Sus scrofa: one gene and its partners. The protein of the gene in region 1 interacts with the protein of each later gene in a pairwise test. Links are inferred from orthologs where the notes say so. Each region holds a gene or a part of one and is shown in the gene's direction. Other genes may lie near its edges. The genes, in order: NDN, EID1, NEFL, FAM131C, LAX1 and E2F1.

What was found.
Region 2: the proteins of NDN (region 1) and EID1 interact in binary tests that used the Homo sapiens proteins (3 or more experiments, as listed by UniProt). The link is inferred for Sus scrofa from reciprocal best matches to the Homo sapiens genes NDN and EID1.
Region 3: the proteins of NDN (region 1) and NEFL interact in binary tests that used the Homo sapiens proteins (3 or more experiments, as listed by UniProt). The link is inferred for Sus scrofa from reciprocal best matches to the Homo sapiens genes NDN and NEFL.
Region 4: the proteins of NDN (region 1) and FAM131C interact in a two-hybrid assay, tested with the Homo sapiens proteins (2 studies listed by BioGRID and IntAct). The link is inferred for Sus scrofa from reciprocal best matches to the Homo sapiens genes NDN and FAM131C.
Region 5: the proteins of NDN (region 1) and LAX1 interact in a two-hybrid assay, tested with the Homo sapiens proteins (2 studies listed by BioGRID and IntAct). The link is inferred for Sus scrofa from reciprocal best matches to the Homo sapiens genes NDN and LAX1.
Region 6: the proteins of NDN (region 1) and E2F1 interact in a two-hybrid assay, tested with the Homo sapiens proteins (2 studies listed by BioGRID). The link is inferred for Sus scrofa from reciprocal best matches to the Homo sapiens genes NDN and E2F1.

Annotation. Positions count from the first base shown.
Region 1 is NC_010443.5:142,411,448-142,414,165, forward strand, and holds NDN (necdin), read left to right. Parts: upstream 1-1,240; coding exon 1,241-2,218; downstream 2,219-2,718. UniProt on the Homo sapiens protein: Growth suppressor that facilitates the entry of the cell into cell cycle arrest.
Region 2 is NC_010443.5:122,809,984-122,813,864, reverse strand, and holds EID1 (EP300-interacting inhibitor of differentiation 1), read left to right. Parts: upstream 1-1,383; 5' UTR 1,384-1,733; coding exon 1,734-2,309; 3' UTR 2,310-3,381; downstream 3,382-3,881. UniProt on the Homo sapiens protein: Interacts with RB1 and EP300 and acts as a repressor of MYOD1 transactivation. Inhibits EP300 and CBP histone acetyltransferase activity.
Region 3 is NC_010456.5:8,994,101-8,998,175, reverse strand, and holds the start of NEFL (neurofilament light polypeptide), read left to right. Parts: upstream 1-1,275; 5' UTR 1,276-1,369; coding exon 1,370-2,416; intron 2,417-3,424; coding exon 3,425-3,549; intron 3,550-3,954; coding exon 3,955-4,075. UniProt on the Homo sapiens protein: Neurofilaments usually contain three intermediate filament proteins: NEFL, NEFM, and NEFH which are involved in the maintenance of neuronal caliber.
Region 4 is NC_010448.4:75,209,321-75,213,292, reverse strand, and holds the start of FAM131C (protein FAM131C), read left to right. Parts: upstream 1-1,172; 5' UTR 1,173-1,367; coding exon of another isoform or gene 1,368-1,389; intron 1,390-3,970; exon of another isoform or gene 3,971-3,972.
Region 5 is NC_010451.4:64,459,160-64,463,352, forward strand, and holds the start of LAX1 (lymphocyte transmembrane adapter 1), read left to right. Parts: upstream 1-1,393; 5' UTR 1,394-1,823; intron 1,824-2,280; exon of another isoform or gene 2,281-2,329; 5' UTR 2,330-2,432; coding exon 2,433-2,521; intron 2,522-4,193. UniProt on the Homo sapiens protein: Negatively regulates TCR (T-cell antigen receptor)-mediated signaling in T-cells and BCR (B-cell antigen receptor)-mediated signaling in B-cells.
Region 6 is NC_010459.5:37,180,119-37,183,618, reverse strand, and holds part of E2F1 (transcription factor E2F1), read left to right. Parts: coding exon 1-184; intron 185-1,234; coding exon 1,235-1,387; intron 1,388-3,139; coding exon 3,140-3,254; intron 3,255-3,348; coding exon 3,349-3,500. UniProt on the Homo sapiens protein: Transcription activator that binds DNA cooperatively with DP proteins through the E2 recognition site, 5'-TTTC[CG]CGC-3' found in the promoter region of a number of genes whose products are involved in cell cycle regulation or in DNA replication.

The DNA of each region.
Region 1 (2,718 bases):
GGGTGTGGCTGTCAATTTCTGGAACCAGTCAGTTTGTGTGAAAGCGCAGAGGTGGGGTCTACACGAACACACCCGTGAAGGCTACATCAGTCATAAGGGGAATTAGGGTCCTTCCTGGACAAACAAGTAGAAAGACATCATACTAGTCTGTGCTAATAAATACAGCAATCTTTGTGTGATGAGATCCTAATCAAAAAATTAAAATTACATCAAAATTACCCAAGGGAAGTAGAAAAACCAAAATCAATGACCATTCAAGCACCTAACAGTATCATTAGTACATTGTCTTCAAGAAAGTTTCAGTTGTACATGTATTGACTACATTCTGCATTTTTCCTTCATAACCCCCTGGACTTGGCAGTCAGGAAATCTTTTTTTTTTTTTTTTTTTTTTTTTTTTTTTCCCCATAGCAGGCTACGGGTAGAATTGGAGCTACGGCTGCCAGCTGACACTACAGCCACAGCAACACTGGATCCAAGCCCTGTCTGCAACCTACACCATAGTTCATGTCAACATCAGATCCTTAACCTACTGAGCAAGGGCAGGATTGAACCTGCATCCTCATGGATACTAGTCAGATTCCTTTCCGCTGTATCACAATGGGAACTCGCAGTGAATCAATCAATTTTTATTGCTATCTTTCATGATTCTGATATCCCGCATCTTTTTCAGAGTTGACACATTTTCTTGGGTGACCCTGATTGTTCTGTCAGTTTAAATTCTCACACTTGTTATCCAAAACCCAAGCTTATGTGCCAACCTGGGCCTTTCTCTGAAACTCACATCTAACTTGATTCTACATATACCCAATTGAACATTTCCTAAGAAATTCAGCTTCAGCATCTTGGAAGCTTAAGTTTCCATCTTTCCTCTTAAACTTGCTCCTTGTCCAGTGCTCACCCATGTCGCTCCTCCCCCCGGCCCCAGGACCGCCTCCTTAGCCCAAACTGGACGACTGTGGGTCATGAGGCCAGTATTCCACTAGGCCCCCTACCCCTTTGGGACCTCAATACACCCCAGCCCTCCAGGCGCCCCGCCCCTACCGCCAGCCGGCAGGGCCCCCACAGACCACGGATGCGCAGGCGCACTAGCCTGTCCCGCCGCCGCCCCGCCCCGCCCGGCCGCTGCGGAAGGCGCCGCGCGCAGCAACGCGCACTTCCTCTCCAGGAGTCCACCGAGGGAGCGCAGAGTCGAAGAGCTCCTGGACGCAGCGGCCGAGCCCTTGCCAGACGGAGCAAACATGTCCGAACAAAGTAAGGACGTGTGTGACCCCAACTTTGCAGCCGATGCCTCCCACTCCGAGGTGCACAGCAGCCCTGGGGTGGCCGGGGGGCCCTCTCCGCCTGCGTCCCAGGCCGCGACCCTCGCAGGGCCAGAGATCCCTCCTGTAGGCCCACCCGACGCCCCTCTGGCCTCGCCGCCGCCCCAGGCCCTGAGCGAAGAGGGAGACCCAAAGGCTCTACAGCAGGCCGCGGAGGAAGGCCGCGCCCACCAGGCCCGGAGCACAGCCCAGCCCAGCCCAGCGCCGCCGGCCCCGGCCCAGCTGGTGCAGAAGGCACATGAGCTCATGTGGTACGTGCTGGTCAAGGACCAGAAAAGGATGATCATCTGGTTCCCAGACATGGTGAAAGATGTCATCGGCAGTTACAAGAAGTGGTGCAGAAGCATCCTGAGGCGCACCAGCCTCATCCTCGCCCGAGTGTTCGGGCTGCACCTGAGGCTGACCAGCCTGCACACCATGGAGTTCTCGCTGGTCAAAGCTCTGGCGCCTGAGGAGCTGGACAGGGTTGCTCTGAGCAACCGCATGCCTATGACAGGCCTCCTGCTGATGATCCTGAGCCTCATCTACGTAAAGGGTCGCGGTGCCCGTGAGAGTGCTGTGTGGAACGTGCTGCGCATCCTGGGGCTGAGGCCCTGGAAGAAGCACTCCACCTTTGGAGATGTGAGAAAGCTTATCACTGAGGAGTTCGTACAGCAGAACTACCTGAAGTACCAGCGCGTCCCCCACGTCGAGCCCCCTGAGTATGAGTTCTTCTGGGGCTCCCGTGCCAGCCGTGAAATCACCAAGATGCAAATCATGGAGTTCCTGGCCAGGGTCTTTAAGAAAGACCCCCAGGCCTGGCCTTCCCGCTACAGGGAAGCTCTGGAAGAGGCCAGAGCCCTGCGGGAGGCCAACCCCACTGCCCACTGCCCCCGCAACAGTGTCTCCGAGGACTAGCAAGGTCTGGAGGCAGATTGATGGTTTCTGACCCTCACCAGGGTGGTGGAGGGGTGGGGGTGGGACATTAGAGTATTCAGGATTTACAGTGCAGTATTTCACGTGTAACTTTTACGTTTTCAGTACAGTGCTTTTATACCTTTTAATGCAATGTTGTATTCATTTCAGTAATAATTAGGTAGTGTGTAGGATTCATGCATGTTTGTTTATAAGTAAGCTCAGTTGGTGCTTTCGCTTTTGTGCTACCTTTCTTGAATTTTTTGTACCAGAGACGTGCTAAACTTATGAAATACATTGAGACATTTTCCATCTTATTCTTTTACATGGGACTGATGATGTGTATGGGGGTAGACAGGTACTAGAGAGTTTGGACGAACTCACCAGTAAAGCTGGTCTAACCAAGAGAAAAGTCAAGACCTCTCTCTCTGTGATCTTGCTGGGCACAGGAAACATCTGTCTGGAGTGTGGTGATGTGGACTTAAAGGGGCTCAGTATGGACA
Region 2 (3,881 bases), about 20 Mb from region 1:
AAAAAATGATAAAAAATGAGCTTATTTACAAAACAGAAACAAACTCACAGACTTCGAAAACAGTTATAGTTACCAAAGGGGAAAGATGGGGGGAGGGATGGATTGGTGGTTTGGGATTGGCATATGGACACAATTGTATATGAAATGGATGGTCACTGGAGACCTGCTGTATAGCACAGGGAACTCTACTCAATATTCTGTGATAACCTATATGGGAAAAGAATCTGAAAAAGAAAGGATATGTTTATATGTACAATTGAACCACTGTGCTATACAGCAGAAATTAACACAACATTATATATCAACTATGCTTCAATAAAACATTTTTTAAAAGACCCTTGAAACAAGAAACAAGAGGCAGGGAGAAAATGTTTGCAACATGTGAAACAAAGTATTCATACACTCAGTTTATAAGAAATTCCTACATCAATAAGAAAAATAAACAAACCTAAAATAAGACCATTTAATTTTCAGAAGTAATACATAGGTTCACTAAACATATTGAAAGATAATTTCCAAGTAATAAGACTATGAAAAATAAAATAATACACCTTTAAGTGATAAAATTGTTAACAATCAACAAAATAATGTGTGGCAAGGGTGTGGATATTCTCAAATATGGCTGGCTAGAGCCTAAATTTGCACAGCAACTTTGAAGAGCAATTTGACATTTATTAAAACTAAAGGATGAATACCCTACAATTTCACCTTTGCACTTCTAGGTTTTCATTTGAGAGAAATATTGTCATTTGGGGATGTTCATTTACCCATAGTTTTTTCTTTTTTTTTTTTTACCCATAATTTTAAATATCAAAAATTATAAAATTATTTGTGCATTGTTAGGTCATTTGCAACATTGCTATACAAGTAGCATACTAGGAAAAACACATGTCTGTGGACACTAACACTGCTAAATCTTCAAGACATTGCTGAGGGCTTTTTCGTTTCCTTGTTTTGAAAGTTGAAGACAATTATGTTAAGATATGTAAAAAGAAAAAAAAAAAAAAAAGACTTTTCCAGAAGACAATAGAGAGATCCACGTAAATGCAAAGAAAGGGGGGGAGGGAATTTAAAGAATATACACCGAATTGCTAACAGTGTAAGGTTATGTCTCCTGCAAAAAGAAACAGGAGCAAGTATTTCTTCTATTTATTTTTTCTTTGTAGAACACCTTTAATATGCTTATTTGTTCATTTAACTTTTTTTTAATATTAGAGATGGATGGATCAATTCTTAATATATTGCTCTGTGGTTCAGAACATCTTTTGCTTTGGAGGTGCAGATTTAGCAGTCATTTGCGCCTAGAAAAAAGTAGTTAAAACCTAGGAGAAGATGTGATTGCCTGGGGATGGGGGAAGGAGGAGGAGCGAAAAGCGGAGGGAGGAAGGAGGAAGGCGATGGAGGAGGAGGGTTAAGGGGTGTTACAGAAGATGTGTAAAGTGTTTTCAAGATTACAGCATCAGAAGCAGAATGACTAAGTAAGGCAGGGGCTAAGCAATGCTCTCGTTTGTAAGTGTATTTAGTCTGAAAGGACCAAGGTCCCGTAAGTCCCCAGGAGCGAACAGCTAGCGGTTGCCGACTGAGCAGCGCGCCAAGCAGGAGGCGATTTCTGGGGGTCGCGCACACGCTCAAGGTCACGCAAGCCCACGGCGTGTGCGCAAGCGCACAACCGCGCGGCCGCGTAGCCCAGATCTTGCAGAAAACGCTTGGCGAGAGGTCTAGCCGATTGCACAATGTCGGAAATGCACGAGCTGTCCGAGCTTTATGAGGAGAGCAATGACCTGCAGATGGATGTGATGCCCGGCGAGAGCGACCTTCCGCAAATGGAGGTAGGCAGCGGGAGCCGGGGGCCGTCCCCGAACCCCTCCCGCTCCGGGGCCCCGCCACAGCTGGAGGAGGAAGGCCCAATGGAGGAGGAGGTGGCCCAGCCAATGGCGGAGCCGCAGGGGCAGCGAGGCCTCGCTAACCGGCCCAACCCTGGGGAGCGCCCGGGCCAGATCGCGGGCCCTGATTTCGAGAGCGAGGACGAGGGCGAGGAATTTGATGACTGGGAGGACGACTACGACTATCCGGAAGAGGAGCAGCTGAGTGGTGCGGGCTACAGAGTCTCAGCGGCCCTGGAAGAAGCCAACAAGATGTTTCTGAGGACCTCCAGAGCGAGAGAAGCAGCTCTGGGGGGCGGATTTCAGATGCATTATGAGAAGACCCCGTTCGATCAGTTGGCTTTTATCGAGGAGCTTTTTTCACTTATGGTTGTCAATCGTCTGACCGAAGAACTCGGCTGTGATGAGATTATTGATAGAGAGTAGTATGCTGTGAAGAGAGGAGGAAACTACTTGAGGAGAGACCCAACAACATTCCAGTCTCTTGGGTTCATTCCGAATAGTTCCGTGCCAATGAAACACTTGATCCAAAAGAAAAAATGGGGGGGGGGGCAGTGTAGACTAGGAAAGTGACTTCACAGTTATGGGAAAGGAAGAAAATTGTTAAAGGAAAAGGATCTCAGTACTGTTGAAACCTGTTTTCAAGAATGTCGTGAAACACTTGTGGCTTTGACTCTGTTACTGATCTAGATTAATTTCCTTGCATTTGGGAAAGTATCTTTCACATTTCCGGATGGCTTTGCAAGAAAAACCAAGACACATGGCCGGTACAAGAGCCCACTGATGTTAATCATATGAGAAAAAGTAACTAATTTATCCAACTTTGGACACCACATGTCTGAGTTATTTGGACTGAAAGCATACTGAAGATGTCATTTTGTGATTCATCTAAGCCAAGCTGTAGTTATTATCCAAAGGCTAAATTTTTAGCGAAAGGTAAATTGAGTATTCTTCAGTATTGCAAAAGAATAATCGAGCCTCCAAAGAAATGTGTATCATGTGTGCTATATCTTAAAGCGTGTTTCCAAGAGCATCTGAGATATTGTTTGTACATATATCTTGATCATTTATAACACTACTGTAATCTTGAATTCAAGAAAATTTACCGTCTTGACCATTTTTAAAAGTCAAAAATTAAGACGTCCTTAATAAAGTTTCAAACTAAGAATGTCAAAGTACAAAGAAAACTAACATCTTTATATACTAGAGAAATTTTCTGTTTTACTTGCTCTTTGTTTTTCATGTAACTTTACAGGCAAAAGACTTTGGTTGAACTTCATAATATAAGAACTGTTAACTGAAAACTGTCAAGTAAAAGGAGAGCCCTACATCTACAAAAGACTTTATGAACAATTATGCTGTCAGCCCTTAAGGGTTTTAAACCTGCCCAGAAATTCACCTCAGTATCTGAAGTTTTTCCTCTGTCTCCTCCTCTAATTAAGCTTGTTATTGGTTATGCACCAGCATTCCAGATAATAAAAATTTCTTGTTCTGTGTATTTTGTCTAATGGTATTGCATACATACTTTCTCTAATTCTACTTTTATTGTATTATATACTACTTTAATGTATGGGCGCAACCACTTTATGATTTAAATTTAACCACTAAAAAAAAAACAAAAAGGGAAAGTTCTCTAGCTTCACATACCTGATTTACAAATTAATTGGTGGAAATTAAACTTAGTAAATTCCCATAAGAGAATTGACCAACCTGGGACAACCTACCAAATCAATAAGCATATTGCTGAAGTTCTATGTGAATAGCAGTCAGAAGGCTGTGCCCAGTGAAAAAGTACCAGATGTTTTTGCTCCATTATGGCAGTAAAGGACACAGCCAATACAACACGACCACTCAGAGCCTACTTATGTTACAGTTATCCTGTCTTTCAGGGAAGGGGATTCTTCTCTGTAAATTACAGAACTAGCAAGTAAGGATGATCATAATTCAAACACTAGCATGGGAGCAGAGGTGGGGAAAGAGGTTAAACTGTGGCACTCA
Region 3 (4,075 bases), on another chromosome or scaffold:
GCTCTTGTAAACCGGAGGGCCGTATCAATGTGCACGCCGCGCACACTATTTCAAGTACCTGGATGTTTCCTAAAAGAAATCCATGGATTTCGGACTGTATCTGTTCTGTATTATCAGAGTGAAACGGGTGTAAGAACCACACGGCTGTTTGCTGTCTGTCCCAGAACGAGAGGTCTCCGGGGCTGAGTTCTGCTCCCGGGAGGTGCGCTCCGCGCTCGGGGCGGTAGCAGCAGCTTCCCTCTGAAAAGCAGCCACCTGCATGGCTTGTTGAAATCATCAGGTTGGGTGCTCCACGGGTGTAAAAAGTGGGAAAGGGGGTTTTAATGCGATGGAGTTGGCGGTGTGGAGTAGGAATTTAGGAGTGAAAAAGAAACAGGCAGCGTGTGACAATCTTAAGTTCCCCTCTGCAGAGCTTGCCGCTGCCTCTGCAAGTGGGTTTCTCTTCGGCTTAGTTTCAAACCCATTCTCTCCTCCACCAACACGCTTCAACATGCTCGAAGTATTCGAGGCTTCATTTCCCAGAAATAAATGAGAAAAATCTAGGAACACTAGATAGATATGAACACTAGGTTGATATGAAATGTTCTAATAGTTTAGACATGCTAAAACCAACAGCTGCAGTGCCGCAGTTTCCCGTGTGTGTGTGTGTGTGTGTGTGTGTGTGTGTGTAGAAGCACACAAAAGAAAAAAAAAATAACCAGGAGAAAGGGATAAAGGGACATGAAGAAAGTGCCAGAAACAGCGACAAAGAATTATAAAACTTTCCTCCATGTATTCCGCATTCATACAGTCTTGGAAAATCATTTGTCTTTCCAATACCCCAAGGCATGGCACTGCCACCATTAACACTGGGGAGGGGGGGAAGGGGGATGATGACCCTTGGTGGGGAAGGGGCGAGTTGGGGGAGGAGAGGAGGGTGCCTCTGAGGTGTAGGGATATGGAAATCTAAGGTGTCAGTAGGGAGTGGGAACCTGTTATTGGGGACACATTCGAATCCGATCAAAGCATAAGTAGGATGGGGTGGGAATAGGAAAAGGAAATGAGTTAGGGGTTACAGCGTCTCACAGAAAACCGAGGGCCTCAGTGAAAAGTGCAAAGAACGAGAGCCGCAGCATCCCCGTGGCCTGTGGCTCGCCCCCGCCTTCCTTTTGCGCAGAATCCTCCCCTTGGCTGCAGCATAGCGCTGCCCCCACCGGCCAGGCGCGCCGTGATCGATCGCAGGCTGCGTCAGAATCCTCCCCGAGTATAAATAGGGGTGGCAGGACCGCGCCGAGCCGCACACAGCCATCCATCCTCCCCTCTCCCTCTCTCCCCTGTTCTCTCTAGGCCCCCATCTCCCCTGCCGGGCAGAGGGGCACCGACCGCCACCATGAGTTCCTTCAGCTACGAGCCGTACTACTCGACCTCCTACAAACGCCGCTATGTGGAGACGCCCCGGGTGCACATCTCCAGCGTGCGCAGCGGCTACAGCACCGCGCGCTCTGCTTACTCCAGCTACTCCGCGCCCGTCTCCTCCTCGCTGTCCGTGCGCCGCAGCTACTCCTCCAGCTCCGGCTCCTTGATGCCCAGTCTCGAGAACCTCGACCTGAGCCAGGTAGCCGCCATCAGCAACGACCTCAAGTCGATCCGCACACAGGAGAAGGCGCAGCTGCAGGACCTCAACGACCGCTTTGCCAGCTTCATCGAGCGCGTGCACGAGTTGGAGCAGCAGAACAAGGTCCTGGAAGCCGAGCTGCTGGTGCTGCGCCAGAAGCACTCCGAGCCGTCCCGCTTCCGGGCGCTGTACGAGCAGGAGATCCGTGACCTGCGCCTGGCGGCGGAAGACGCCACCAACGAGAAGCAGGCGCTCCAGGGCGAGCGCGAGGGGCTGGAGGAGACTCTGCGCAACCTGCAAGCGCGCTACGAAGAGGAGGTGCTGAGCCGCGAGGACGCCGAGGGCCGGCTGATGGAAGCGCGCAAAGGGGCCGACGAGGCGGCTCTCGCCCGCGCCGAGCTCGAAAAGCGCATTGACAGTCTGATGGACGAAATCGCCTTTCTGAAGAAAGTGCACGAAGAGGAGATCGCCGAGCTGCAGGCTCAGATCCAGTACGCGCAGATCTCCGTGGAGATGGATGTGTCCTCCAAGCCCGACCTCTCCGCCGCGCTCAAGGACATCCGCGCCCAGTATGAGAAGCTGGCCGCCAAGAACATGCAGAACGCCGAAGAGTGGTTCAAGAGCCGCTTCACGGTGCTGACCGAGAGCGCCGCCAAGAACACCGATGCGGTGCGCGCAGCCAAGGACGAGGTGTCCGAGAGCCGCCGACTGCTCAAGGCCAAGACCCTGGAGATCGAAGCCTGCCGGGGCATGAACGAAGCGCTGGAGAAGCAGCTGCAGGAGCTGGAGGACAAGCAGAACGCCGACATTAGTGCTATGCAGGTCAGGCACAGGGCAAAGCACAGTGGGGGCGGGAGGGGGCTGCAGAGTCGAGTTAGAATTGGGGTTGGGGGGAGAGTTTAAGGCGAGCCTAGAAAGTGGAGATCAGAGATGAGGCATCTGCATTCAGCTCTTAGGGGGTAGAACTTGGCTCCTGGGAGGCTGTGGGAGGGGGTGGGGGCGCAACTGCAGTCCGCAAAGCTGTGCTTGGTGCAGCCGAATTTCTGTTCTGCATAAACCTGCCCAGGCCTGCAGGGGGTTGGGTGGGGTGGGGAAAGGTTGGAAGCTGGGCGTTGCCTCTGGCCTGCTTCTGCTGTTCTGCGTTCACAAGTGGCTTTACTGCACAGATTGAACCATCTGATTAATAAATACAGCAAAGAGCTCTCATTAGTTCTGAAGGGTAACTGTGACCAGCAGCTTTCTTAGTTTTACCAACCACTTCCTTCCCTTAGCAGGTAGACAGGAATACAGTCAAAATTGTAGCAGGTAATCATGGTCACAGTAAAACATTTATTTTTTAAGGACCTCCAGCTTCAGGGGAGGAGAAAAAATAATATAGAGACATAAAAAATATTTTGGATAAATTTTTAAAATCTCCAATTTAGATACTTTATTCTATGAACAGGTGGATTGCTTATATGTAATCTGGTTAAAGTTAACCAGTCAATGAGAAACAAAGATTTTTAAAAATCAGTTTAGTTCCTTGCAGGCATTTTATGATGATGGTCAGGCTGTATTATTAACAAACCAGAAATTTTTCTTCTATCAGTTTTTTTAAGCTCTCTCTCTCTCTCTTTTTTTTTTTTTTTGGTTTTCAAGATTTACGAAGCTGGATTTTTAGGCAAGAAAAGAAAGGTTTAAAAAGAGAAAAAGTAGTTATTTTAAGGGAGATTTTTATCTAAGTGTGCACCTTATTTTAATTAAACCTAGGCCTTTGCAGCTATGTTATAGTAAAATGAGAGCAGTAGGAATTTATACTTGGATTTCTTTTTTTCTTTGGTCTTCCAACAGGACACAATTAACAAATTAGAAAACGAACTGAGAACCACAAAGAGTGAAATGGCAAGATACCTGAAGGAATACCAAGACCTTCTCAATGTGAAGATGGCTTTGGACATTGAGATTGCAGCTTACAGGTAAAAATGGAGGGATGAAGGTAGCAGCCCTTCAGCCTTAGGAAGGAAATCAGACTTCTTTTACGGTGAATCAGAAACCTTCAAGAATAGTCTTGAAATAATTGGCTTTAAAATAAAAGGCCCTTTTTGGCCTTTTCCAAGAAGAATTTAATCCTGTAATAATAAGACCTGTTCTTAGCTTCCCATTACATTTCAAGTCTAATAGGCAGGGCTATTTTTAGGCCTTTTTTTTTTTTTTTTCTGGTCTCAATCATAACATCCCCAGTTGTTACGTTTTGATAGTCTTCAACCCTGCTCCTGCCTGCCTTTGCCTTTAAGGGTGGCATTGGTGAGAGGGATGAGTGATGGGCTCAGCACACTTCTGGTTTCATGTTTGTTTGTCCCATCTTCCCTCTGCCTCTGCAGGAAACTCTTGGAAGGTGAGGAGACCCGGCTGAGTTTCACCAGCGTGGGAAGCTTAACCACTGGCTACTCTCAGAGCTCCCAGGTCTTTGGCCGATCTGCCTATGGCGGTTTACAGACCAGC
Region 4 (3,972 bases), on another chromosome or scaffold:
CCATATTCACAATAGTTCCCCGACCCCCATGGCCAGGGTCATTCTCCACCAGGCTTTTACTCCAGAGAGGGCACCGGGCCTGGGCAAGGAGATAACGTCAGCATCCACGCCACTGCTCCCCACCCCCACCCCTTGGCAGTCCCACCGGGCCCAGATCCAGCCCGGCTAGAGGCCTCCAGCTCCACCCCACCCCCTTGTCTCAAACCTCATTCATCCTTCAAACCCCGCTGGTCCATCCCCAAGTTTTTAAAGAGAACCAGTGAACCTGGCTTCCTCACTTGGAAAAGGGGCACAAGGACACCTGCTCTAACCGATGCCCAAGAACGTGTACGGATGGAGTGAGTCGGCAGGATGTAAAAGTGAGCGCTGAGAAGCTGAGGATCTGTGGGCCATGGGCAGGTTTGCTAAGGAGCTGGGGGTGTGTCTGAGTGTGTGGCTGTGTGTAAATGCCAGTGTGTGTAAATATGGGTGTGTGTGTGTGGGTGTACCCATGTGTGTTTGTGTTCGTGGGTAGGGATGTGAGAGAGCCAGTGTGAGTGATTAGAGGGGCCACTGCGGGCCCCATCGGAAGGGAGCTGCGGGTCTGAGAAAGGACTTGGCCATTCTGCACGGGCTCAGCCCAAAGGGCCTTCTCACCTCGCTGCCGGCGCTTGCAGGAGACCCGGTGGAGGGATCCGAACGCTCATCCCCACCCTCTGTATCCCCAGCCTGGGCCAGTGTTCCCCCCCCCGCCACCGATGATGTCCCTGACACCTAAGGGCCCTCAGGCAAGGCATCTGATCTCCGTGAGCCTGTGTCTTCCCCTGCCACTTGGGCACAAGAGACATCTGAATGTCGTGTACTTCTTCGTGGCCCAAATGCTGAAATTTCCCTGCCCCCACCGCCCTCTTCCCTGACCTTCAGCCCCTGTCACCAGGTGGCTCGGGAGGCCCGAGGGCCTATGGTCCCCCTCCAGCTCCCCTGCCCCCTGCCCCGGGGCTGCCCCCGCCCCTAGCCTGGCGGCGGCGGCAACAGGTGCGCTGCGGGCGGGGCGCTGGGGGCGGGGCGGCCTCGCGGGCTCCGCGCTCGGGGCTCCGGGCGAGCGCTCCCCGGGGCCGCCCCGCCCGCCGTGCTGCCCGCGGCTGGCAGGGGCGGGCGCGGCGCGGGCGGCGGTGGCGCTCGGCGAGCCGGGCACGGCGGCGGCGGCGGCAGCGGCGGGGACGACCCGGCGGGAACGGCGGCCGAGCGGAGCGGAGCCCCGGGCCCTTCCCTGCGAATCCGCGCTTCCGCTGCGCCAGCGCCGCGCGTGAGCCCCGGGCCCGCGCAGACATGAGCGCCCGGCGGCCGGACGCACTCAAGGCTCAGCGGCCCGACCCCGAGGCCCCGTGATGGGCTCCTGCGTGTCGCGAGGTGAGGGGGCCACAGATCTTGGCGAGGAGAAGCAGGAATCGGGGGCCCGGGTCCCCGCGCCGGGGACGCAGGCACGACCCCTCGGCCTCTCGGGAGAACCTGGGTGGGGGTGGGGGTAGGGGGACGACCCGCCCTTCGCGGCCAGCCGCACACCCCGCCCCCCCGCCCCCCGCCGAGTCCCAGGGGACAAGGTGCCCCGAGGGGGTCAGGGCGTGGGAGGGGGCAGCAGCGCGGAGAGAGCGAGCGTGGGGAGGTCACCGCAGCCCCGCTTGGAACCACACCCCACCAGGTGGCAGAAGCAGGGTCGCTACCTTTCCAGCAGCCACACGCCCCCTGCCGTGTGCCTCGGAGGGACGGCAGGCTTCTGATTTCTCCTGGCTTCTCTGGAGGGACTGCGGGACGGCGGGAGAGCAAGCCGACCCTCCTTCCCACGCCCTCCAAGACATAGACCTTAGTAGCTCAGTGCCCCCACTTCTGTGCTCCTTACCCCACGCCCCTGACTTCAGAGTCCCAGACCCCACTGGCCACAAGGGGTTAAAGGAGATGAACAGGTTATAAGGAAGGTTCCCCTTCCCCCACCTTCATCCCTAACTCCTCATCCCCACCCCCATCCTTGGTCAGGGGACAGGAAGGGACAGAGACAGCTGATGTTCCCAGTCACCCCTGGGCCTTTCTGTCTGTCTTTAAAAGCCACTCTGACCTGGCAAGCTCCTGCTCTCTTCCAGTGCCTCAACCCTGAGGCTCCCCCCAAGGCCGTGTCTGGGGAGCTGGAGTGAGCTGCCCTGGCACCATAGTGAGTGGGAGAGGGTGGGAGTGGCAGGGACTTCTACACAAAGCTGGGGGGGTTGGGCAGCTTGGCCTTTGGAACCCTCCCCACCACCAGCTTTCCAACAGGCTGCTGAGTGGCATTTTAGAAGAGGTTGGCTGGGCCATTCTCCCACCCTGGTGAGCCTTTTGGGGTGCGGTGAGGGGGTGACTGAGGCCTTGGCTTCAGCGCTGCAGCCTGAAGCCAAACCCACTGACCCCAATCACGGCCTGGGGGGCGCTGCCACCTTACCTGTCACCCCCAGCAGCTTACCCAGATGTGGAGGGATGACCAGGCCTTGAGGAGGGGCTGGCAGGCCCTGGAGGAGACCTATCCCGGGGGGTGTTGGGGAAGGAGCACACCCCCTCCCCCCACCCTCTGCCCTCTCCGGGGCTCTGCCCACCAGTCCCCGTGGGACATTCAGATAGGTGGCTCAGGATGTCTCAGGAGGGTGTCATGGTGGGGATTAGGCTGTTCTGAGGTTCAGCCACTTATTCATTCATGAAGCTTGATGTTAGTGTGACACCTGCTGTGTGCCAGGCACCATGTACATGCCGGGCCCCCAGAGCGATGAGCCCAGCACAGCGCCTGCTCTGAAGGTACAGAATGACCATAAGGGAAGGGAATTTTAAGAGTGAGGGGGAGTTCCCATTGCGGTGCAGTGGAAATGAATCCGACTAGTAACCACTGGTCTCGCTCAGTGGGTTAGGATTATGGATCTGCTGTTGCCATGAGCTGTGGTGCAGGTCACAGGTGCGGCTTGGATCCTGCATTGCTGTGGCTGAGGTGTAGGCCAGCAGCTGTAGCTCGATTAGACCTCTAGCCTGGGAACCTCCATATGCCGCAGGTGTGGCTCTAAAAAGCAAACAAAAAAAAAGAGAGAGAGAGGAATGTTAAGAATTCTTTAGAACCAACAGGCTTTCCGCGTGTCTCTAGAAACCTCGAAGCTCTGAGCAGGCGCCAGGTGTTGGGGAGCTGGTATTTCCCTGTTGTCTGTCTCCCCCATCACTCAGCCATCCCGTGCCAGGTGCTGGAGGCCCAGCCCCAGGTGGGCCCCAGATGGACTTGGCTGTGAGCGTCAGACCCGAGGAGGAAGAGATGCTTGTTGAAGGTCAGGCTGCCAGGCTGTGTCAGGGCTGGGGACCAGGTCCTCTGACCACCTCATCCCCTGGACCTGGTGCTGGAACCCTCTGCCATGCCTGTCTGAGGTTACCCTGACCTAAGAGAGGTCCTCTCCACCCTTCCCTCTGTGGCTGGGGCTCCTGAGGGCCACCTCTAGATCTAGCTGTGTTTTCAGACCCTGTCCCCCTCCTGAGGGAGTAGGCCCGCTTCTAGCCTCCTCATGCATGCAGGCAAGCTGGATGCAGGTAAAGAAGCTGTGAGCCACGTGAGCCGAGGACAACCATTGTCCCAGCGCTCAGGGTTCTGCGTGGCCTGACCACTAAGCGGAGGCCACCCACCCCTCTAATTGTCACTGATACCCATAGAGTGCTTACGGCTTCCCAGGGCCCCAGTGGGAACATTCTAGGCACAACTAGCTAATTTAGGGTATGTACCGTCCCCGCCCCCATTTTACCAATGGAGAAACTGAGCGGGGCCCAGGGCCCCATAGGTAAGAAAGAGCAGAGGCAGGACTTGAATCCAGTCACACTGACTCCAGAGCCTGGGCCCTTGGCCTCTGTACCACGCAGCCGGCCCTCAGACCCAGGGCAGCTTCCATGAGCCCCGAGCGTCCACATCTGCCCCAATTGCTAATAACAGCCCCTTTGCTCCAAGCA
Region 5 (4,193 bases), on another chromosome or scaffold:
CTGGGAATCCACTTCCTTGTGGAAAGTGAAGTCAGAGGATCTTCCTTCCTTCCTTCCTTCCTTCCTTTCTTTCTTTCTTTTTTTTTCTTCATAGTGCCATATCTGCGGCATATGAAGGTTCCCAGGCTAGGGGTCTAATAGCAGCTATAGCTGCCAGCCACAGCCACAGCCATGCCAGATCTGAGCCACGTCTGGTACCTACACCACAGCTCATAGCAACACCGGATCCTTAACCCACTGAGCGAGGCCAGGGATCAAACTCACAACCTCATCGTTTCTAGTCAGATTTGTTTCCGCTTCATCACGATGGAACTCCATCTTCTTCTTATTTTAATGGCCGTGCCAATGGCATATGGAAGTTGCTGGGCCAAGGTTTGAATCTGAGCCTCAGCTGTGACCTAAGCCACAACCGCAGCAATCCTGGATCCCTTAACCCACTTTACGGGACTGGGGATTGAAGCCATTGCTGCAGTCAGATACTTAACCCCCTGTGTCACAGCGGAAACTCCTAGAGGCTCTTCTCACCCCCTCAAAATAGTCTTTTCACACCCTTCTCCTTGGACTCTCCCAAGATGAAAGAGAGTGTCAGGAAATTGGTAAAAGGAAGAGGGGGAGGAAGCTAGAAAAAAGCTTTGAACAATCTTCAAAGTTTGGAGCACTTTGTGTAGACATAGCGTGGGGGCGGTGAATTTTCCAGCTTCTGAGACAGGTGCACAACCACCATCCTGGGATGGATCTTCTCTGAAAGAGCTCTGTGAGCAAGATGGCAGCAGCTACGGGCACGAGGGAGGCCCCCAAGGGCCCTGCTACCCCCATAGGAGCTCCATTGTGGCTCAGCAGTAACAAACCCGACTAATATCCACGAGGATGCTGGTTCAATCTCTGGCCCTGCTCAGTGGGTTAAGGATCCGGCATTGCTCTGAGCTGTGTAGGTCACAGAGGCAGCTTGTATCATGCATTGCTATGGCTGTAGCGTAGGCCGGCAGCTGTAGCTCTGATTAGACCCCTATGCCAGGGGTGCACCCCTAAAAAGACAAAGAAAGGAAGGAAGAAGGAGAGAGAGAGAGAGAAAGAAAGAAAAAGGAAAGGAAAAGAAAGGGAAGGGAAGGGAAGGGAAGGAAAGGAAAGGAAAGGAAAGGAAAGGAAAGGAAAGGAAAAGAAGCAGACCAGCTCGGTCAAAATCACCTGCGGTGTGTTTATGAAAACCACCCATCCCCCTCTGCACCCTCTACCCATGAATCAGCAGCAGGTGCCAGGGATCTGCGTTTGTTTCTAAAAAACACCTCCCAGTGCTCCTTAGACCTGCTTAAAGCACACAATGCAAATCTGGAGGCTTATAAAGCGCATAAATTCTCAGCAACCCCAGGTGAACAAATCGCAAACCCCACCACCTTGCCCCATCTTGAATCATGCTCCCCACAGACCACAGCCACCGGGAAGATGGGGCAGGCAAGTTTGCTTCTATCTTATTAAGAGCTGAGCAGCATTTCCTGGGCCCCAGGCTTCATTAGCACGTTGGTGGTGTTGCTTCCTGTAGCTGACTCTCTGTTTCCATTCTGGCAAACTGTTTGTTCTCTTCTCTTTGCTTTGGGGGTTGGGGGAAGATGAGCTTCTCACGGAACCTCTCTCCAGCTTCTCTTTCCCCCGCGGCACCCCTCATGCTCTGACGAGGCAGGGAACCCGGCTTCTCCCTGAGCAGCTGTGCTGGGGAGTCCACACCCGGATGAGCTCTCCCCTCTGGCATCGAAGACACATCCAGGTAGAACCAAACCTGTTTTGTATTTTGGGTCAGCTCAGCCTGACATTTCAGGAACAGACTCATGGTAAGGAGTTTGTTGGGGGAGAGAAAGTTCTAGATTGGAAGCTTTAGAAAGGAAGAAATAAAAACTAGTAGACTTTTTCTTGTGAGGGACTTTGATGAAGAAAATTTTAAGAAGAAATTTTGAGAGTAAAAAGTTGTACATTAGGGAGTGGGGTTTGTTTTGTTTTATTTTGTTGTGTCTTTTTAGGGCCGCAACCCCAGCATATGAGCCTCCCAGGCTAGGGGTCAAATCGGAGGTGTAGCTGCCAGCCTGCACCACAGCCACAGCAACACAGCATCTGAGCCGCATCTGCAAATTACACCACAGCTCACGTCAACACCGGATCCTCAAACGCACTGAGCGAGGCCAGGGATCTAACCCACATCCTCATGGATACTAGTTGGGTTTGTTTCCACTGAGCCGCAATGGAAACTCCTGCCATGCTTATCTACTAAAAATAAGTGGTTATACCACACAGGTATGTATGGAAAACACAAACCAATTCTGCCTTTTGTCCTGGGAGTCAGCAATTAAGGAAGAGCCAGGAAACGGGCAGACAGGCTGGCGAGCTAATGATGGTTGAGAGAAGGCTTGGAAGGAGAAGCTGAAGCCAGAGAGGGTCCGGGGATAATGGGCATGACCACGCCGGCCATCTCAGAGGTCAGAGGGAGGACCTCACAGCCCAGCACTCTACAGGGAACCCTCAGCACCCTGGACAGGTGAGTGGCCACGGTGGTGAGTGCTCCCCTCCGCTGATGTAGACAGAATGCCCTGCTTTACCCCAGCAGCGTGGCCAGCCTCACAACCAGGCTCGGGTCCCCAGAGACCACTTAATTCTAGGCTCAGCGGAGTTTGCTCAAAACCGCGGGGAGGAAAGGAATGGGCATTGAGGAGAAAAAGGCGTTGTTGGGGGAGAGGAACTGCGATAAGGCGGCGCTTCCTTAGAGCTGGCAGCCCTGGTTGAATTTCTCATGCTCAGAGGCCCGATGGCTGTCCTCTGTCTTCCTGCCCCAGGTCCCACCCATCACTCCTCAGAGAAACAAAAACAAAAACTAGTTCCCACCACGATGGACACAAAAGGCCCACTTTTTCCACAGATGTGTCTCTCGGTTCTAACATCTTGCTGTGACAGATGAAGCTATCTACAGAAAAAAAAACAAACTCATGGACACAGAGAACAGGCTTGGGGTTGCCAAGAGGGAGGAGGAGGGAGTGGGGTGGACTGCCAGCTTGGGGTGAGTAGATACAAAGTATTGCATTTGGAGTGGATACGCAATGAGATCCTGCTGTACAGCACAGGGAACTATATCCGATCACGTGTAGTAGAAGGTGACAGAGGGTAATATGAGAAAAAAAAAAATGTTTTTATACATATGACTGGGTCACTTTGCTGGACAGCAGACATTGACAGAACATTGTAAATCAACTATAACAAGATTTTTAAATAAAGAAAAACTTGCCATGAATAAACATGTAATCATAGGTATGCTAAAGATAGGTCTTTAGGACCTAGAATCTCACAGAACTCATTGTAGATATAAATTTTTATTGCCAAAGGCTTCCACACCGTATTAGCAAAAATAAAAAGTCCATCAGCTGCTGAAACTTTCACACTGGGAGGTATACATTTCTGCACTATGATAAGAGTACAATTTCTGTGCTATGATGAGAATACAGCAATAATATGTAATAATGTGATTTTAAATCACTGTCGTTTGGGGAGGTAATGTTATGACCCATGACAAACAAATACCCGTCACTGGCAGGTGGACAGGGGCACTGATGGGGAATGAATTCATAAAGTGTCAGAACCCTGCAGCGCCCCCCCCAGCTGTATTTTGTTATTCATTAATTTTTTTGCTAATTCATTCCTTCATTCAGTTAACAAATACTCATCAGGCCCCTACTGGCACTGCTCCAGGCACCAGATGAATAGGACAGACAAGTCCATGACCTCCTAGAGCTTACAGTCAAGTGGAAGAGTCAGATAGGAACAAAGGAACCCATGCACGGATCACATAATGTCAGCCAGCCATAAGTGCTATGAAGAAAAACCAAAGCAGACACAAGGGACTGAGAGTAGTAGGGTGTGGCCAGGGAGGATCAGTCTGAGGAGATGGCATTTCAGAAGAGACCTGAATGAAATGAGGGACTGAGCCATGGGAGAGGGAGTGGCAGGTCTGAGAGAGGACCGTGCTCTGCCAGGAAGAGCACGGAGGCCTGACCTTCGGGATCAGAGGGAAAGTGATAGGAAACAAGGCCAAAGGCAGCCAGAGGCCAGAACAGAAGATGCCATGATGTCCTCCTTGGGTAGGGACCATGGATGCCATCCCAAGTGTGACAGGCAATCATGGAAGTTTGCAAACAGAGGAGGAGCTCAATCTGGTTTAC
Region 6 (3,500 bases), on another chromosome or scaffold:
CATCGCTGAATCTGACCACCAAACGCTTCCTGGAATTGCTGAGCCGCTCGGCTGACGGTGTCGTCGACCTGAACTGGGCAGCTGAGGTGCTGAAGGTGCAGAAACGGCGCATCTACGACATCACCAACGTCCTCGAGGGCATCCAGCTCATCGCCAAGAAGTCCAAGAACCACATCCAGTGGCTGTAGGTACCAGTGCAACAGGAGGGTGGGCGCAGGCCCGTGGCCGGGCCAGCCCGGAGGAGCTGAGAGCAGTGCCCACTGTGGCTGCCTGCATCCCTGTCTTACTACCCGGGAAACCGAGGTTTAGAGAGGAGGGGTGGCTTCCCTGAGGTGAGAGATGCAGGGAAGAACACAGATCTCACAGCCAGCTCAGTGCCACTTTATGTATTTCTTCACCTGGGTCACCACCATCTGGGTCAGTATCCCAGAAAGTTTCCTTGTGCCCCTGCCCAGACACTGTCCACTCTGCATACCACCAGGTAACCACTGTTTTGGCTTCTGTTGCTATTGATGGGGTTGTTTGATGCAGCTGTTTCATTCTCTTTGTTTATTTTGCTTTTTAGGGCTGCACCCGTGGCATATGGAAGCTCACAGGCATGGGGTCGAATCGGAGCTACAGCAGCCGGTCTATACCGCAGCCACACAATGCGGGATCCCAGTAAAATAGGAATTAAGAGGGAGTTCCGACTAGTATCCATGGGGATGCAGGTTCGATCCCTGGCCTCGCTCAGTGAGTTAAGGATCTGGCCTTGCCATAAGCTGTGGTGTAGGTCACAGACGCAGTTCAGATCTGGCATTGTTGTGGCTGTGGTTTAGGCCAGTATCTGTAGCTCCAATTGGACCCCTAGCCTGGGAACTTCCATAATGCCACGGGTGTGGCTCTAAAAGCAAAAAAATAGAAATGCTTGCATGTCTGCATTTAATGCCTTCTTGTCCTTTTATACACCTGCATAGTGTTCCATGGCATGTCTGCCACCATTTACTTATCCAGCTTCCAGTGAGAGACATGTGCGTGTTCAGACATTCAGGCCCAATTTTGAACCCAGCCAGCCTGCCTTGGAGCTCAGCTTCAGCTCTCTTTTGTTCCCCAACTGAGGAGGCAGGCCCAGAGAGGGGCTAGGGCTCACCTGAGTCTCAGAACAGAAGCAGCAGCAGATGCTTACTGAGGGTCAGGGCTCCTGGGAAGAGGGGCAAGGAGCTTTTAACCACCCCCCTCCTTTGCCTCCTGGCAGAGGCAGCCATGCAGCAGTGGGGATTGGTGGCCGGCTTGAAGGATTGACCCAGGACCTGCAGCAACTGCAGGAAAGCGAGCGGCAGCTGGACCATCTGATCCAAATCTGTACCACACAGCTGCATCTGCTTTCCGAGGATGCTGACAGCCAGCGATATCCTTGAATGCCTGGAAGGTGGCCATGGCGCCATCCCAGTGGGCAGAGAGGGGCTACTCTGGGCCCTGGATGCAGGAGAGGGTTCTGGTTTTGGATACAAATTCTGGCTCAGCATTTACTCATTCTGTGACACTGGACAGGTTACTTAACGTTTCTTGAGTCTCAGCTTCATGTGTAAAAGGGGAAAATTACCTTATTCTGAAGTTAGATTAAAACAAGGAAAGTTAGGAGTTCCCGTCGTGGCGCAGTGGTTAACGAATCCGACTAGGAACCATGAGGTTGCGGGTTCAGTCCCTGCCCTTGCTCAGTGTGTTAACGATCCGGCGTTGCCGTGAGCTGTGGTGTAGGTCGCAGACACGGCTCGGATCCCGCGTTGCTGTGGCTCTGGCGTAGGCCGGTGGCTACAGCTCCGATTCAACCCCTAGCCTGGGAACCTTCATATGCCACGGGAGCGGCCCAAGAAATAGCAACAACAACAACAACAACAACAAAAAAAAAACAAGGAAAGTTAGAATCAGTAATAATAAATATGATTGAATACAGTGATTCATGGTTGTCACATCCAGGTTAGAGATGTAAGTTTTTATTTGTCCTCTGTTTAAAAAATAGAAACTTTTGGTGGCGCCTGTGGCGTGCAGGAATTCCCAAGGCAGGGATCCAACCCGACCCACAGCTATGACCTGAGCCACAGCAGTGACAGCATTGGATCCTTAACCTGCTCAGCCACCAGGGGTCTCTGAAGCTTTATTTATTTATTTATTTATTTTTGCAGCTTTGGTTCTCACTTAAGATCCAGTAAACTTATTTATGTATTTATTTATTTTGTTTGTTTGTTTGTTTTTTGTCTTTTTGCCATTTCTTGGGCCGCTCCTGCGGCATATGGGAGGTTCCCAGGCTAGGGGTCAAATCGGAGCTGTAACCACCAGCCTATGCCAGGGCCACAGCAACGCGGGATCTGAGCTGCGTCTGTGACCTACACCACAGCTCACGGCAACGCCGGATCGTTAACCCACTGAGCAAGGGCAGGGATGGAACTCGCAACCTCATGGTTCCTAGTCAGATTCGTTAACCACTGCGCCACGACAGGAACTCCCTGAAGCTTTATTTTAAAGTAAGCTTTTTTTGGGATTTCCCATCATCGCTCAGTGGTTAATGAATCCGACTAGGAACCATGAGGTTGCGGGTTCCATCCCTGGCCTTGCTCAGTGGGTTAAGGATCTGGCATTGCTGTGAGCTGTGGCGTAGGTCACAGACACGGCTCTGATCCCGCCTAGCTGTGGCTCTGGCGTAGGCCGGCGGCTACAGCTCCAATTAGACCCCAGCCTGGGAACCTCCATGTGCCGCAGGAGCGGCCCTAGAAAAGGCAAAAAGACAAAACAAAAAAATAAAATAAGCTTTTTAAAAAAGAAATATTCAAATTATACATTTTGGAGATAACCATTAATCACCAAGGTCATGGGTCAGAGTAAATTCTCAGAACCAAGCCTGGATTTAAGTAATCTCTATGCAATTATTGCAGGCAGCCCATCATTACCTTAAGATTCAAAGGGGAAAGTGGTCTCATAGTACAGATGTGGAAACTGAGACTCAAGGGCCTGTGATAGACTTGAGTACAAACTATGCACCAGGCCCTGAGGTGGGAGACAGCTAGGACCGGGGTGACCGGACAGGTATGAGTTCTGACTTCTGCGCTGTGCCCGTGGGTGGCCCCTAAAGGCCAAAGGTCATGTGATCCTTGACTCCACCAACCCTGGCCTACGTGACCTGCCAGGACCTTCGTAGCATCGCGGACCCTGCAGAGCAGATGGTCATGGTGATCAAGGCCCCCCCGGAGACCCAGCTCCAAGCCGTGGACTCCTCCGAGGTAAGAGCTGGGACTCTGGCCCCGACCAGGACAGGCTGGGCCGGGCTGGTGGTCAGCTGAGCCTCACTCTGCCCTGCCTGCTGCCTCCGCCCAGAACTTCCAGATCTCCCTTAAGAGCAAACAAGGCCCCATCGATGTTTTCCTGTGCCCTGAGGAGAGTACAGGCGGGATCAGCCCCGGGAAGACCCCATCCCAGGGGGTAGCTTCTGGGGAGGAGGGCAGGGCAGCCGACCCCACCACTGCAGT